Linked DNA regions of Mytilus edulis. The protein of the gene in region 2 purifies or fractionates together with the protein of the main gene of each other region. This does not show direct contact. Links are inferred from orthologs where the notes say so. Each region holds a gene or a part of one and is shown on either strand. Other genes may lie near its edges.

The links.
Region 1: the proteins of toll-interacting protein-like (region 2) and cleavage stimulation factor subunit 1-like purify together in Homo sapiens (co-immunoprecipitation; 3 studies listed by BioGRID and IntAct, with this or other methods). This does not show direct contact. The link is inferred for Mytilus edulis from reciprocal best matches to the Homo sapiens genes TOLLIP and CSTF1.

What each region holds. Positions count from the first base shown.
Region 1 is NC_092356.1:6,401,704-6,409,353, forward strand, and holds the start of cleavage stimulation factor subunit 1-like, read right to left. Parts: upstream 3,171-7,650; 5' UTR 3,053-3,170; coding exon 2,991-3,052; intron 1-2,990. Other genes in the region: tRNA (cytidine(32)/guanosine(34)-2'-O)-methyltransferase-like, read left to right, coding at 5,241-5,361, 5,921-5,990, 6,553-6,655. UniProt on the Homo sapiens protein: One of the multiple factors required for polyadenylation and 3'-end cleavage of mammalian pre-mRNAs. May be responsible for the interaction of CSTF with other factors to form a stable complex on the pre-mRNA.
Region 2 is NC_092353.1:33,032,232-33,039,819, reverse strand, and holds the start of toll-interacting protein-like, read right to left. Parts: upstream 3,120-7,588; 5' UTR 3,022-3,119; coding exon 2,977-3,021; intron 693-2,976; coding exon 522-692; intron 316-521; coding exon 182-315; intron 1-181. Other genes in the region: rab-like protein 3, read left to right, coding at 3,354-3,408, 4,777-4,868, 5,473-5,590, 6,297-6,402, 7,582-7,588. UniProt on the Homo sapiens protein: Component of the signaling pathway of IL-1 and Toll-like receptors. Inhibits cell activation by microbial products. Recruits IRAK1 to the IL-1 receptor complex. Inhibits IRAK1 phosphorylation and kinase activity.

The DNA.
Region 1 (7,650 bases), on a different chromosome or scaffold from region 2:
TTCACCAGTTGACATCCATGAATGTTCTTTTTGAGGTTGAATGTTTTATCTCCGAGTATAATTTTTTCTTCATGTCTTTCAATATCGCAAACTTCACATTCTTCTTTACATGTTTTGTTGCTGTTGTAGTTAGTACATATTTTGGTGATCTTATTTAGTTTTCCATGTACAATTATGTCTGCTAAGTTTCTATCTCTTCGATAAGCTACTAGTGGTGGTTCTGGAAATATTTCTTTCATCAAGTTACAGTTATGTAAAATATTAATTCTTTTTTTCACAATGTCATGAATATCAAGTAGTAAATCAGTAAAGGTTACAACAAGAGGTATGCGTTCTGATGTTTTTTTAATTTTATTTTTTCTCTGTAATAACTCTTTTCTATTTAAGTCATCTGCTCTTTTTAGTTGGTTTTCAATAAATTTTCCATTATAGCCTCTTTTTCGCAGTTGTAATTTTAGTTCTTGTCTATGTTTTTGATAGTCATCTTCATTTTCACAAATTCTTCTTAATCGTAATGCTAAACCATAAGGAATTGCCTTTTTTACATTTTTTGGATGGCATGATTTGCTGTGAACATATATATGTTTATCAGTTGGCTTTGTATAAAGGTCTGTTGTTAATTTACTATTTTTTATTTTCACAAGTGTATCTAAGAATTCAATCTGATTGCTGTTGTACCTAAGTTCCACCTTTATTTTGTCATTTATTGAGTTTGCAAAGTCCATAAATTCTTTGAGTTTTTGTTCGCCATGAGTCCAAATTCCAAAACCATCATCAATGAAGCGTTTATAAAATAATGGTTTCTCTTTGAATTTTTCCAGTGCTTTGTCCCATTGTCGCATATAAGTACAAGCAATGATTGTCTTATTTTCACCAATCATGCCAATAGGATACAGAAACTTACACAAATTTACTCAATAATTCATGAAAACTAGCGTCAATGTATATTTTAACATTATTGCGAGGCAGAAAGATACATAAATTAACAAAGGTTTTTGAGTTTGTAATTTTAGCAGTACAGTTTGGAAGATTTTTTGTAGATTATACTCACACTGCTTAATCTAAATCTTGAAAGGGGGGATATCCCAGGCTTAAAAACATAAAATCTTAAAAATTTAAATCCTAACATCCGGAAATTCGAAAAAAGAATTCCTGATTCCTGAAAAAAATCAATCCTTAAATACACCTGATCCTGACGTTCCGTAAAAGGTCCTGCTGCTCCCTCTCAATCTTGGGATATAAAGGCAGCATTCTATTAACCAATTCAGCCAGACAGTTCTTCTATATCTATAGATATCTTAGTCCTTTTTAAGGGCAGCCCATTCAAAAATAGCTCAGTCCCAATTACTGTATTCGGCCACAAGTCACTACAACAATACACCTTATCGCTAATCCCAGCTGACCCGGCCGCTTGAACTTTTGACCCATACAACAATCACTTTTCCATTGTGGCGTCAGATATTTTGTTTTGTGACGTCAAATTTTTACGGGAACCTGTGTAATATCCAGTAATGGTGGACAAATAGCGATAAGGTGTATGTATACACCTTACCGATAATTGTCCGCCATTACTGGAAATCACACAGGTTCCAGAGTTCGCGAAAAAGGTCAGTCCTCAGGATTTTACCCCCAAAATTTTGCGTGGGACTGACACAATTTTAGTATTTTTCAATAGAATCAATCAGTCAGGGGTGCTACATGTACAGGGGCGGATGCAGGAATTTTCGAAAGGGGGGGTGCTAACCCAGGGCACCCAGGGCAAAGGGGGGGTGCAAAACATATGATATTTCCCGATACAAATGCATTGATCGGCAAAAATAAAGGGGGGGTGCGCACCCCCGGAACCCCCCCCCCCCCCTGGATCCACAACTGATGTACTTAAACAAGTGATTTCATTATCACCTATTTCAATGATTTGATAAATTCAGTTATCACCTATTTAAGTGATTTTGGTGTTTCCTTTGATCTTCAAATGCTAATTTCATTGAATTTTCACAAACTTTTGTATAATTTTCCTACATAGATCAATTATCCCTTTATCTATGGATATTAACTTCACCAGTGCGCTTGAGCAGTAAGTTAGTGCGCTAAAGCATTTTAAAGTACCCTTGGGAATTGTTCTGTGATCAAATATTCATTAACTACTCTGACTATCAGACAAAGGTCAACAATATTACATGTAGGTAACCTGATTGGTTTTCTTTAGAGTTAGAATGATATACATGTACTTCAAGGTTATGTCCTGATCTACAAATTATTCCAGAAAATGCATATTTTAAATAAATTGTAAAAACTGACAGGCTTATCAAGCAAAAGACAATTTCTAGATGTACATAGTTGTTTTTTCAATGGAATTCTTTTCTTTTTACCAAAAAAAAAATAAAGCTTGTGAGAAAAATATCAAGAAAAAGTTATAAACACTTATTGAAGTGATCTTCTCAAATTACTTGTTTCAGTGATTTTAAAAAGTCTGTGTTTATTTATAGATTTTTTTTTAATATTTCACAGTCAAAATCACTTGAAGAAGTGATTCTGAAATCACTTGTTTAAGTAGTACCCCTGACTGTTAATAGTGAGAACCAGTGGATTTTCTTCAAGGACCACCAGGGGAAAAAAGATTTCGCAAACTCTGAGGTTCCTGTAAAGTTTTAACGTCATAATACAAACTATCTGATGACACAATGGAAAAGTGATTGTTGTATGACATCGATAGTTGTAGCGGGACAGATTGTTTGGTCAGCCGGGAATAGCGATATAATTTTTATATGTATGTAGCTGAACTGTTTTAAAACCTTTTTTTAATGACATATGATTTAAATTGACAATATGGGGTAAAGGATGTGTGCATGATAAAATGTATAAACCTCACACAAATGTGTGCATGTTACTGATGTGCCATAGATCAACGTAAATTATCTAGGGCCAGGCTTAGCAAAACTTCAGCTTTTCAAAAATCATTATTTGGAATTTCTGAACAGAAGCATTTTTACCTGATCATAAGTCTGTACATAAGCTCTCGTTGCTTTATTTCTGCATAACCTCCTCCAGTCATTGTGTTAGCTTCTATTTAGATAATTTGTCAGGAAGAACGCACAAAACCGGCAAAACTTACAAAATGTACAACGTGCGTATTGTTTATACTCTCTATACTTTTCTTCATGAACTATGATAAAACTAAAGAAGTTCCGTATTTGGGTTAGTTTTGCGCTTTAGTGACCGGGTGCAAAGTCTCTCGATTAAGAAACAAAATGAACTTGAATATTGTTCAAGATATGTTTTTCCAGACCCTCAAAAATGTAACTGTAAAATTATATACATCCACATTATTCATGTTATTATTAGATTATTGATGAATTGATTCTTACTGTGGCATTTGTCACATGGTATACTTAGACTGTCTTAGTGTGATATGATTTTGAAATTGCTCTGAGAAAAAGTCTCATCTCATAAGTAAACAGGATATTTCAACATTTAAAAAAAAATCATAGTTGTAATAGGTACATTTTTTGTAGTTACAGTTGTATGTATTTTTTTCTGTCAAAAATCAAATTGAACAGGTTGATAGAAAAAAATATAATAGCCCTTCAAGATGTCATAATTCTAGATGGTCTGCTTTCTTGATTGCACCATTGTTAGAGGTTTTGCTTAAATAATTTCTTCGTGTGTTTAATTTGTAAATTGCTTTTTTGAAATAGATTTTAGAGGGGGGATAGAACCTTTATCGGGACTCCGGGATCGGGGGGGGGTTTAAGCTCGGGATTTCGGGATTGACCCTTTCGGGATCCGGGAATCCTTTTTTTCGGATTTCGGGGTGTCGGGATTTGCTTTATTTAAATTCGGGACCTCGGTATTTCGTTTTTTCAAGTCCGGGATTTCGGGATCAAGACCCCTCCTATCCCCCCTCATTTTAAGATTTATTGTATTTTCAGTTTTAGAATAAACAAAAATGATAAAGATAATAAGATTTTACTGTTTTACAACAAAGTTAGTCAAATTCTAAAGACTAAACCATTTTTTAAACTGTTTCTTTTTAGAGTTTTAAGAATTATTTTGACAAAATAAAATATTTATAATATTGTCTTGATGATCAAAAGCATTTCATTCATGCTGAAGACCTTAGACAGTCACCAAACTTGTCACAGTGATATTGCAGAAATTTAAAGCAATATCACCAGCTCACACATTGAATCATACAATCTAAGTGCACTATTCCAAACGCAAAACGATTACTAGAATATTTAGTAACTACACCAAAGCTAGTATAAATACAACCCATCAGACCCAATACTACCAAATTAGCTTTCTCAATAAAAGTTAACAGTAATCATGAATATTATTATACCTTACATATATTACAAACAATTCTATTGGATAACACCTTATCACGTGACATGGAATAATTCAGTTAATTTTCATTTAATTGCAAAGGAGGACGAATAACCCTTAAAATTTACACCAGCAGTGAATAACCTTAAAGTTCACCGGCGAATAACCTTTTGAGTGTCTAGATTTGCACTCGAGTTATCTCCCATGAAAATGACTTCACAGACATAAATAAACAAAATGGCAGCATTCATGTTACACTACAACAGCCCATCGAGAGACGAAAAAATAAGGCTTTGGAAATGAATAGAGTGACAGCAGCCGATGATATCTCTTGTAGAGTAACGGTCCTTTTCAGGGCCATCAATATTTTACTAAAAGATTCTACCTTTGTTGTACATTCGAGAAATTCTAGAACACAAATGTATTTTCCTGAGGTATTTTTAAACGTCAGCTTGTGTTTGATAGTAAAAAATATAGTAAGTGTTTAAAAAGGCCTTTTCACTTTTAGTTCGTTATAATAAAATAATTGTGGCCCCTTAAAATCAATGATTATCCAAATTGTCAACCCTTAAAAGTTATTTGACTTCGGGCTGCACTCTCATAACCTTCTCGTATTGACAATTATGGATATTCACCTTTTGAACGGGCCATAATTGTATATTATTGACCATCTAATCACACAAGAAATGAAATTAAGCACTCCATTAAAAAAAGTTGTATTCATGAGAATATAAATATTTTAGTAGAAGAAGAAATATATGTTAAGTTGTGCTGTATACATTTGCTTCTGCACATTCTAAAGTTGTGAAGATTTTGTTGATAAAAACTCTCATATATTTTTCAATTTATTATTTATAGAGTATTTTATTGTAGAAGGTTAGGAATCATTGACAACCAAATTAGAAATCAAAGATATGGGACGGTCAAGCAAAGACAAACGGGATGTTTACTACAGACTGGCTAAAGAAGAGGGTTGGAGAGCTAGGAGTGCCTTCAAACTACTGCAAATTAATGAAGATTATAGTTTATTTAATGGTATGATTTAAATCTAAAAAAAAAATTTTTTTTCATAAAGGTGTTTTAATGACCTGAATTAAATTACTAAAGAGAATTCCTCACAAACAACCCACTAGTGTTTTAATTTATTCTCAAAAGATTGCTAAATAATCATCATATAATTATACTTAAAGACATGTACACTGAACTTTAAATTTTGAATCTTCTCAATACTCTTGAAAAAAAATCATTTTATTATGACCATGGGAAACATTTTTTACCAGATTCTTAGAATCCTTTTAAGAATCTTAGAATGAAATACATGTATCAGGTAATTTTAGATAATAAAAAAGACCCCTGAGATGGTATCTTACACCATTTTATTTTCGGGTTGCTGTCTCATTGCAGAATGGTCAATATCTGTTCTATTCATACTTGATAGCCTTTAGTAAATTTTGTTTTCATCTGAACACCCATCTGATCAGTGATCTGAACAAATCTTACCTCTCAACATGTGCAAAAATGTAGCCAGGTTTTATTACTTATATACATATCGTCACCTGTCCAATTAAACTAGACATATTTATATATGTTTTAGGTGTGAACAAAGTTGTAGATTTGTGTGCTGCTCCAGGAAGTTGGAGTCAAGTTTTGGCAAAGAAGCTAATGCAAGTATATTTATGGATGTCCATGTTGGTATTAATAATTTGTGGAAACCCAACAAAATATAAAGTGAAAAAACACAAATTAAAAGGAAAAAATAGGGTCTTTAACAATGCAAGTGTGTCTATACCATAAGTGAACTTAACAAAATAACATGTAAAATTTGCATGGACTGATAAAGAGTTAAAGGCCTTGTTTTCTGAATGTATAGAAGAGAGTTGTAATGATAGTGTTAAAAATGTAATGATCACGCAGACACATGACCATGATGACAGACAGACGAAAACAATTATTTTTTCTTAACTTATTGTTCTTCATTAAGGATTTTAGGGATTTTAACAATTTAAGCAAACATATATATATATATATATATATATATAAAGGAGGTAAAGGTTGATAGTTACCCATAAAGGATTTTGTTTTGGTCATATTTTAATGCTTTGCTAGCAAAAATGGCTTAAGTCGAATATATCTTCAAATTCATCTTTAAAAAAAGTGTGATGTTTAGGATTAAATATAATTATATGCATCAATATTTATTTGATTATGATAATTTGTAAATTACAGAGAAGAGAAAGAGAAACCTGACAATGTTAAGATAGTTGCAGTAGATCTGCAGGCTATGGCACCAATCCCTGGTGTGATTCAAATTCAAGGGGACATAACCAAGGTACAGGATGCAGATGTATTTATGTACAGATAAAAAAAAATATTACTATTAGGAAGGGTTTGGATAGATGGAAAAAAACACAGTAGTTTTGATAGATAGCAAAAAGCACAGTCAAAGATAAGAACATATCTATAATACTAAAATTACGAGGTCCAATTTATCAGCCGGCATCAGGTAAAAACGACATATCAAAGAATTCAACTTTATATATAGCTAAAATAGGACAATTGTGTAGATTAAAAATTACACCACTCCAGACCCTTTTGTTTTCCACATAATTAATATTGCCAATAATTAACAAGTTCCGGGTTGAATCCGGTACTGATACCAAAAGTATATTCACCTGTTACCCATTACCTTATCTGTACGTTCCGTATCTAACAGGCGCACAACCAAATGGTGTATTTGATTTTACTATATACACCGGTCATAATCACAAAGTCGACACAACTAAATTCAATCATTGTCAAATTGTTCCCTATTGTAGTTTTTTAATTAGTAAAACTTTCTAAGATAACAATACGAATACTAAAAATTTGGACTAAGGCGTATAGGTACAGTTTTCAATTTGTTAGCGGGCATGACACAAAACAGCGAATCAAACATTTGAACTTTATTGGACAATGCTGTTGATTAAAAAATACTCAATTCCAGGACCTGAATATTACCAATAATTGAAAAGTTCCAGGTCGACAGGTTCAAACAGAAAGATTTGAAAGCAGAGAAAACTGTGTATCTTATAATCGGCACGACTTTATCAGATGACAATACCAATACTAAAATAAGGCTTACGCATAGTTATATACTTTAATTCAGTCATGGACCCGCGATATCACGGGTGTGTTCTAGTAAACTGTTATAATTATAACATTGTTTTTAAAAAGATACGGACATACTTGACAAATGAAGTGACTTAAAATATACATGCATTTGTTTAACAGTCCACTATGTTTTATACTTGTTGAAGCATATATAATTGAAGAAAAAATGTACGG
Region 2 (7,588 bases):
TCTTCTTCATATTTAAGAAATGGATTCCTTTTCATCAGACCTCTTTTGTAACCTATTGAATTTGCAATGAAAATATTCAACCAAATAGTAGTTGAAATTCACAGCACTGTTCTTGCAATTTTAGGTTCCATTAAAGACATTGTCTATATCTTAATCTAGGACACCACATTTTATATCTTACACATTAACATTTCTGTTCCATCTCGGTGTTTTGGCACCATTATAATCTGTAGGCGTCTCAAACACAGAGTGACCAATTCTCATTCTAACATACGGATCCATCTTTGTTAGTCCATAGTTCTTATTCAACTTGGCCTGAAAACGTAAAAATTCAATTAAACACACTTTAATTTGCTAGAAAACTGAGCCATTTTAATGAATTGTAGTTATATTTAAGATTATGATAATCAGTGATGAACCCCTTTTTATATCCAGTTAAGAGATTTTATTTCATGTTTACAGTACTTGTTGAAGAAAGTTAAAGATTATTGAGTTGAGTAACTTATATACATGTATTTTACCTGTGCAACGGTTATAGTAAGTCTACCAACAGTATTTGCTGGGATAGCAACAAATCCCCCTTGTTGCTGTGCTTGTACGAGCCTTGCAACTCTTTCATCTGCCATTACTTGAGCTTGTGCTACATCTACAGGTACTCTCAGGAAATCTTCTGGTAATTCTCCAACCATAACCTAAAATTGAACAAAATATTTCTGTATGCATATATGTATTTCATCATGTTTCTTGTTCATGAATTCATCTGTAAAACAGCTTATTTTAGTGAATACTTTTTTCCAGGTTTATAGCTTTGCTTGTTGCTTGTAGGCCAATTTGTCAGAAACTGAGTTTTGTAATTTGTAATATGGATAATGCATTAATGTAAAAGAAGACCCTGTTTTCAATGAATCATATTAAAACATCATTAGTTTACTAATAAAAAATAAAGAAGAAATATGAGACTATACATGTATCTAGAGTAAAAAACATTGCACACAGAAATGCTGCAAAAATTATACCATTTAAAAATTAACAGATTACAAAAATTTCATGAATTTTTACAGTGTTAAAGGGATTTTCTTTTTATCATTTTGAATGTATAATTTGTACATGTAGCACATATAGTGTGCCTACTTGTCTGTTTATGTCATATTGTACTTCTGATTAATGATGTGATCCTGTATTTTTTAAAGAAAATGCTTCTGATTTTTTTTTAATTTAAAAACCTTGGTCCTGAATCACTTATAATTAACTGAAGAAAATCCATTGCCCAAATACCAATGGTTCTGACATATTTCAAAACAAGAAATCAATTCAAAAGAGAGTTCTGACATATATGAAATCAAGAAACTAATTCAAAAGAGAGTGGTGGAATGATAATTTCCAGGACATTGATTAAATCTTTATTTTTGCAGGAATTCAGGATTTACACTTACAATTATTTAAGAATAGAGGAAAAAGGCCTGATCGAAATATAAAGAAATACACAACACAGAGAAGCAGATTACCATGATTACTTGTAACAACAAACTATGACACCTGTTATACGAATACGAAAGTTTTATTTTGATTCGGTTCACATATTTATAACAAGACAAAAATAAGCTCTTAACCCTTTTTTCCATGGATTTTCTTTTACATTCTTGATTAACATAAGATTTTTCTTACTAAAAATAATTATCAACTTAAGTATTAATGCATTGCAAAAACGAATATTTCATAAATGAAATTCCAGTCAAATCCTCTCATGAATATCCTTGTTATATTAGATACAAATTAGTTTTATTAAGTCTGATAAAGTTTTTTCGTAGGTAAGCCGGTTAAACTGAGGCACTACACAGGTATCATTATGAAGAAAAGGGGGTGGCGTCAAAAGGCATCATTATGGATCCGTAAAGGGGGTGGCGTAAAAAGGCAACATTATGGAGGAAAGGGTTAAGAGATTGTTGAGCTAGTGTCATAAGTTTGCCATTAAAATGACGCCTGGTTAAATTATAGATTTACAGAATTGAACAGACGAACTTCAAAATTGGTAACCTAGGGGTGCTGGATTTTCTTGATGCATTGAAGACCCATTGGAGGGCTACAGCTGCTATCTGCTCTTTGGTCAGGTTGTTGTCTCTTAAGGTTCATGTGGACCCTATGGTTAAAATGGCCGTATTTTCACCTCAAAATTTTCTCTGAGTAGAGGCAAACCTGTGCATCTGGAAAAGTTTTAAGGCATAGCATGCCCTGGATAAATAGAATTCAAATGCATTGTATGATTTAGAAAATTCATAACTTAACTGGATTTTGCCGTACACTTTTTTTCGTCTCTGCAGAAGATGATGAAATTAACAAACAGTTGAGTTTACCTTGAAATGGTCCATTATTGTCAGGTATCTATTGTCCATTTAATGTCCATGTCAATTAAAAATGCTCACTTTAATTTTTACCTGTGGGGAAGTTCTCAAACCTGTTTCCCAACTTAGTTTATTTTGGCACCTTCTGAAGGAATGAAAAAAAGTGCACGGCAAAATCCTGGTAAGTTTTTATTTTTCTCAAACATAAAACATACTTAAAATTCATTTATCTAGGGCATGCTATGCCTTAATTGTTTTACAGATGCGCAGGTTTGTCTGTACTCAGAGTAAATTTTGAGGTGAAAATACGGCCATTTTAGCCATAGGGTCCACATGAACCTTAAATTTGACCTGAGACTACGTACTATAACACATATAGTAGTCTCAGCTTTGACACATTCCCCATTTCCATTCTCATTTTTTTTTTTAAATAAAGAATGAATTGACGAATATGTTCAGCATCAATACTTCTTCATTTTTGTTTGTTTTATTACTTCCAACAAATATTAGACATGTTAGACAGTTCTAAAGCAGGAATTAAAAAATGGTAAAAAAATATATGTCCATTTTGGACCTATTAAAACGAATTTTCTATATATGTAATCTGTAAAAATGTTGACTTTATTAAATAACATACCTGATTTCTTCGAGTTGCAGAGGTGGTATCATTTGTTGAGGCCATAACGAACTGCTAAAAGTCTTATATTTTTTTGTTGACAGTCACAAGTTATGAGTAATGGAAAACTAAAGACCGAAAATTTTATGCAACGGCCGGTATGGAAAAAAAGACTACACTGTTAACAAAGTGATAAATCATGGTATAAAATGTTCTTGTAAAAGAAATAGCAAAATAATATATATCAGGACTTTATAACTTCAAAAGTTGAAATAACATGTTGACAACTTTGAAACTACGCACGACAAACTGGTATCTAGACGTATCAAGAGCAGATAACCCTTCGTTAATCTATTTTCGTTTTGGTTGGACACATCACTCAAAGTTGGAAATGGACCATGGCAGGGTTTCAAGCTTATGATAAAATAAAGATCATAGTCGTTGGCGATTCTGGTAAAATTTAAGTTAATTTATCACATACCTGTTACCAGGTTACACCTAAAATTTCTGTATGAGGCCAAACAAAAAAGTATCGTATGTGTGTGTTTACTGTCATATGCTGATTATTTTTTAAGGGTAGGTAGGTAGGGAATTGTTTTTATTTTAATTATTTTTTTACATTGAGTCTATGGGAGCAACATTGTGACTTTAACAGTGCTTAATCAAAAATGGTAAAAAAAAACTTTACAGTATGGGTAGGCCAAATAGAAGTGCACAATGCCGCATCTCTGGTTTGTGATTACTGCTTGGAGTGGTTTCACCAAAAATGCCTCGGACTATAACATGCTCCAAAAACAACTTACTGGATTTGTAGAAACTGTCATTGTAAATAAAAGTTTAAAAAATCGTATGCAATATTGTAAATATCAAATAAAAGTTAATACATTTTCTCAGTCTCATTATACATTGCAGTCTTTCATGTAACAATATATATTTAATGCAATGTAACTGTAGACACAAATATTATTGTTACATTCGTAATTAATCTATCAATGCATTTGAATGGGGACATATGGTTTGACCCCCCCCCCCCCCTTTTTATCCTGGGTAGGGACCCCCCTTTTTAAAATGAGTGGATCCACCCCTGAGATCTGTCTTAATACCAAATCCTGACATGATAATCACAGTATATTTATCATTTTCATAACAGTGTGAACAAGACCATTTCTTTGCACACTTCAGGATATCAATTGACTGGGTCATATTACATGTAGGTGAACTTTATGTAATGCCAATTTGTTCAATCCTACATGTTATAAACATTTAAAATGTGGGATCACCAAAGGTTCTAAAAGCTAAATCACATAGTACGAATAAATAGCAGAGGACTACACCTTGTGGATTGATTTAAAAATATTGAATACTTAAACTTTTATTTTTTTCTTATTGTGCACCTGCATATACTTTTCTCTTTTATTCTATTTAAATCCGAAATTGGAAGGCCTCTGACAGACTGAGTGAGCGTAAAATCACTGATATTGGTAGCCTATGACAAACAAGTTAAAGATAAATGATTCAACATAAGTATTCATCCATGGCGGTTGTCCATGCTGTTATGAAAACGATTTTATATATTGGTAGAAGAATGTACAAAGAAATCATTACAGTAAAAGACAACTTAGTCATACAAACAAACAAAACAATTGAGCTGCTTTTACTTTGTGGGGCCAGTTGGTTAAAATTGATGGGACAAGTATGTAGAAAGTGGGGCTAGTTTGTCTGTGGAAATTTGGTTGTGAGTGAGTTTTTCAGCTTCACAATGCAATTTATGTGTCATATTACATGTTTTATATCTTTTACATATATATATTTTACAATTAGGTGTTGGAAAGACTTCACTGGTACATTTAATGTGTCATAATGAACCAAATTCTAATCCAGGTTATACTATTGGTTGTTCAGTAGAGGTCAAGGTAAGGATTCAACACCACTTTTTGGGTAAAGATTGCATGAAAATGCAAGCTAAACCCTATAGCTATGTTACTGACTTGACATCTAAATCTTCCAAGGCTTATCACTACCTTTTTGATACACAAAATATAGTGCATTGATCATAACAATCTATACATTCTACTATGATTATTTCCAGATATTTATCAATCTAATATGATTTAATCTGTTCTGAAGATATACATTTGTAAATGATGTCATTGTTAAAGTCATCTTTAAAAATTGAGTTATCTCCCATTATCCAGAATTTTAGTTGAATCAACTACAACCAATGCTTTATACAATGCAATATTTAATTTAACTTCCAACGGATAAATTAACGCAATATTTACCATTCAGTGCTTACAAGCAATTTGATTAAATGTTATTGTTGGTTAGTTTGTTTTTGTCTTGTAAAGCAAAATGAAGAAGAAATGTTTTCTGACATTGTCTGAAGCTTTAACATTAATAAATATATGACTCCCACTGATTAAAGTTACATTTACATAATCAAACTTAATAGAAGTGAATCTAGAAATCTTTTTAAAATATGATATACATATATTTATGAATGATTATATTTTATAGCTTCACGACTATAAAGCAGGAACTCCATCAGAGAAAACTTACTTTACAGAATTGTGGGATATAGGTGGATCATCCAGTCATCAGAACAGTAGATCAATATTTTACAATAATGTAAATGGTTAGTTATTTTTTTTTAAAGTATTGGTGAACTCAAAAAGTAATTTAGTAATGAAATAAAGCAACATAAACATTAAATGAAATTGAAAAGAGTGTCCTGTTTAACAGGATTTAAACTTATACAGTTTACTATATGCTACCAGTGCTGAACAACATTTTGTCAATATTAAACACTATACATTTTTATCTGCATAAATTCTATGATTTCCCAAATCACTCACATCCAAGGCATAATTAGCATATTATTTATCCATACTGACAAACAACCGTTTTCAATCCCTTAGAAATTTTTAAATGACATTTGAAAATAAAAAAAAAATCTTAAGATTTTATGCTTGTTGTGGTCACTTTGACATTCAGCTAAGATATTTATAGATACAAGGAGGGCTATATATCAATGAGACAGAAAAAATCAAGAAGAATTTGTAAATTTTCCCTGTTTGATATTCCAGAGTTATGGACCTTAAATTTGTTTTTCAGTCTTGCGACAATTTCACACAAAGGGTGTGTCTTATGCTCCTCCCTTCCCAAAGCTGTCTTTTTCATATGATTTTTTTTTTACTATCATTGCATTTTTGAATAGAGCCATATGATTTGACCCCCCTTTTGAAAATGACTTGATCCGCCCCTGATAATTTAGCCTATTTACCTGTATTACTTAATTGTTAGTGAAAGGATTTAACTATTATTTTGATATTTTACTACAGGTATAATTCTAGTCCATGACTTAACAAACAGAAAATCTCATCAAAACCTTAGAAAATGGCTGGGTGAGGTTCTCAATAAAAATGATGCAAAAGATTTTAACAATGGGTAAGAAATATTTATATGACTCCTCTTAAGTAGTGACCTAAGAAGATTGTTATTATACCTCAAATCAATTATTGGATGGTTTACTGCAATTAACTTGGAAAGCTCAGAAATTATATGAATCAATCTTTGCTCAGCTTCAAAACATATGTCACAGAATTTTTAATAACTTTTACTAATTTTACAATCAACATTTATCTGTCATCTTCTATAATATTAGCTGACATGCAAAAACAGTCATCAGATGCCATTATCAGGGATTCAAATTATTGTTGGTCTGCCCCCATATTTAAAACCTTTCTTTTCTTGGAGGAAACTGTTGATTTTTTTAATTGAACACTCCAGATCTTACAATCACAAAACTTGAGTATGATAATCATACTAAGTCTCAGAAATCTAAATACTGGATTTTAGTGTTTTAAGCACTAATATTTACTCTGTGTACTCAGTAAAATTTTATGAATGAATGGCCAGGACCTCCATATCGTGACATTGACACTTTAAGCAAATTTGAACCCTTGATTATTGGCTTGACAATTACAGCTTTAAAAAAGATAAAAATGCTCATTTTGAATGTTGGTTATTTAAGCAACCTCCCCCCCCCCCCCCCCCTTAGTCAATATCTCTATTCATTTCATTGTAAACTGCTATTAAAATGAGAGACTAAAAATAATAACTTTTTATACCCCCGCTTTAAAAAAGGGGGGGTATACTGTTTTACCTCTGTCTGTCAGTCCGTCCGTCAGTCCGTCCGTCCGTCAGTCATCCCATGAAACTTTCGTCACATTTTTCTCAGGAACTACACATCCACCCTTTCTGTAATTTGGTATCAACATTTATATATGTCAGTCATACTGTGTGATGCGTTTTCAGATTCATCACTTGACAACTTACTGTTTACCGAACACTTGTCTGATTTTACACATGATAGCCAAGTTGAAAATTTTCGTCACATTTTTCTCAGGAACTACAATACAAGGATTTCTGAAATTTGGTTTCAGGATTTATATAAGTCAGCTATACCGTGTGATGCGTTTTCAGATTCATCACTCGACAACTTCCTGTTTACCGAACACTTGCATATTTTTACACTATTAATATTATCCACTTGCGACGGGGGTATCATCAGTGAGCAGTAGCTCGCAGTTTCACTTGTTATCCATCTGTTCTGATCTTTTATAGGTATGAT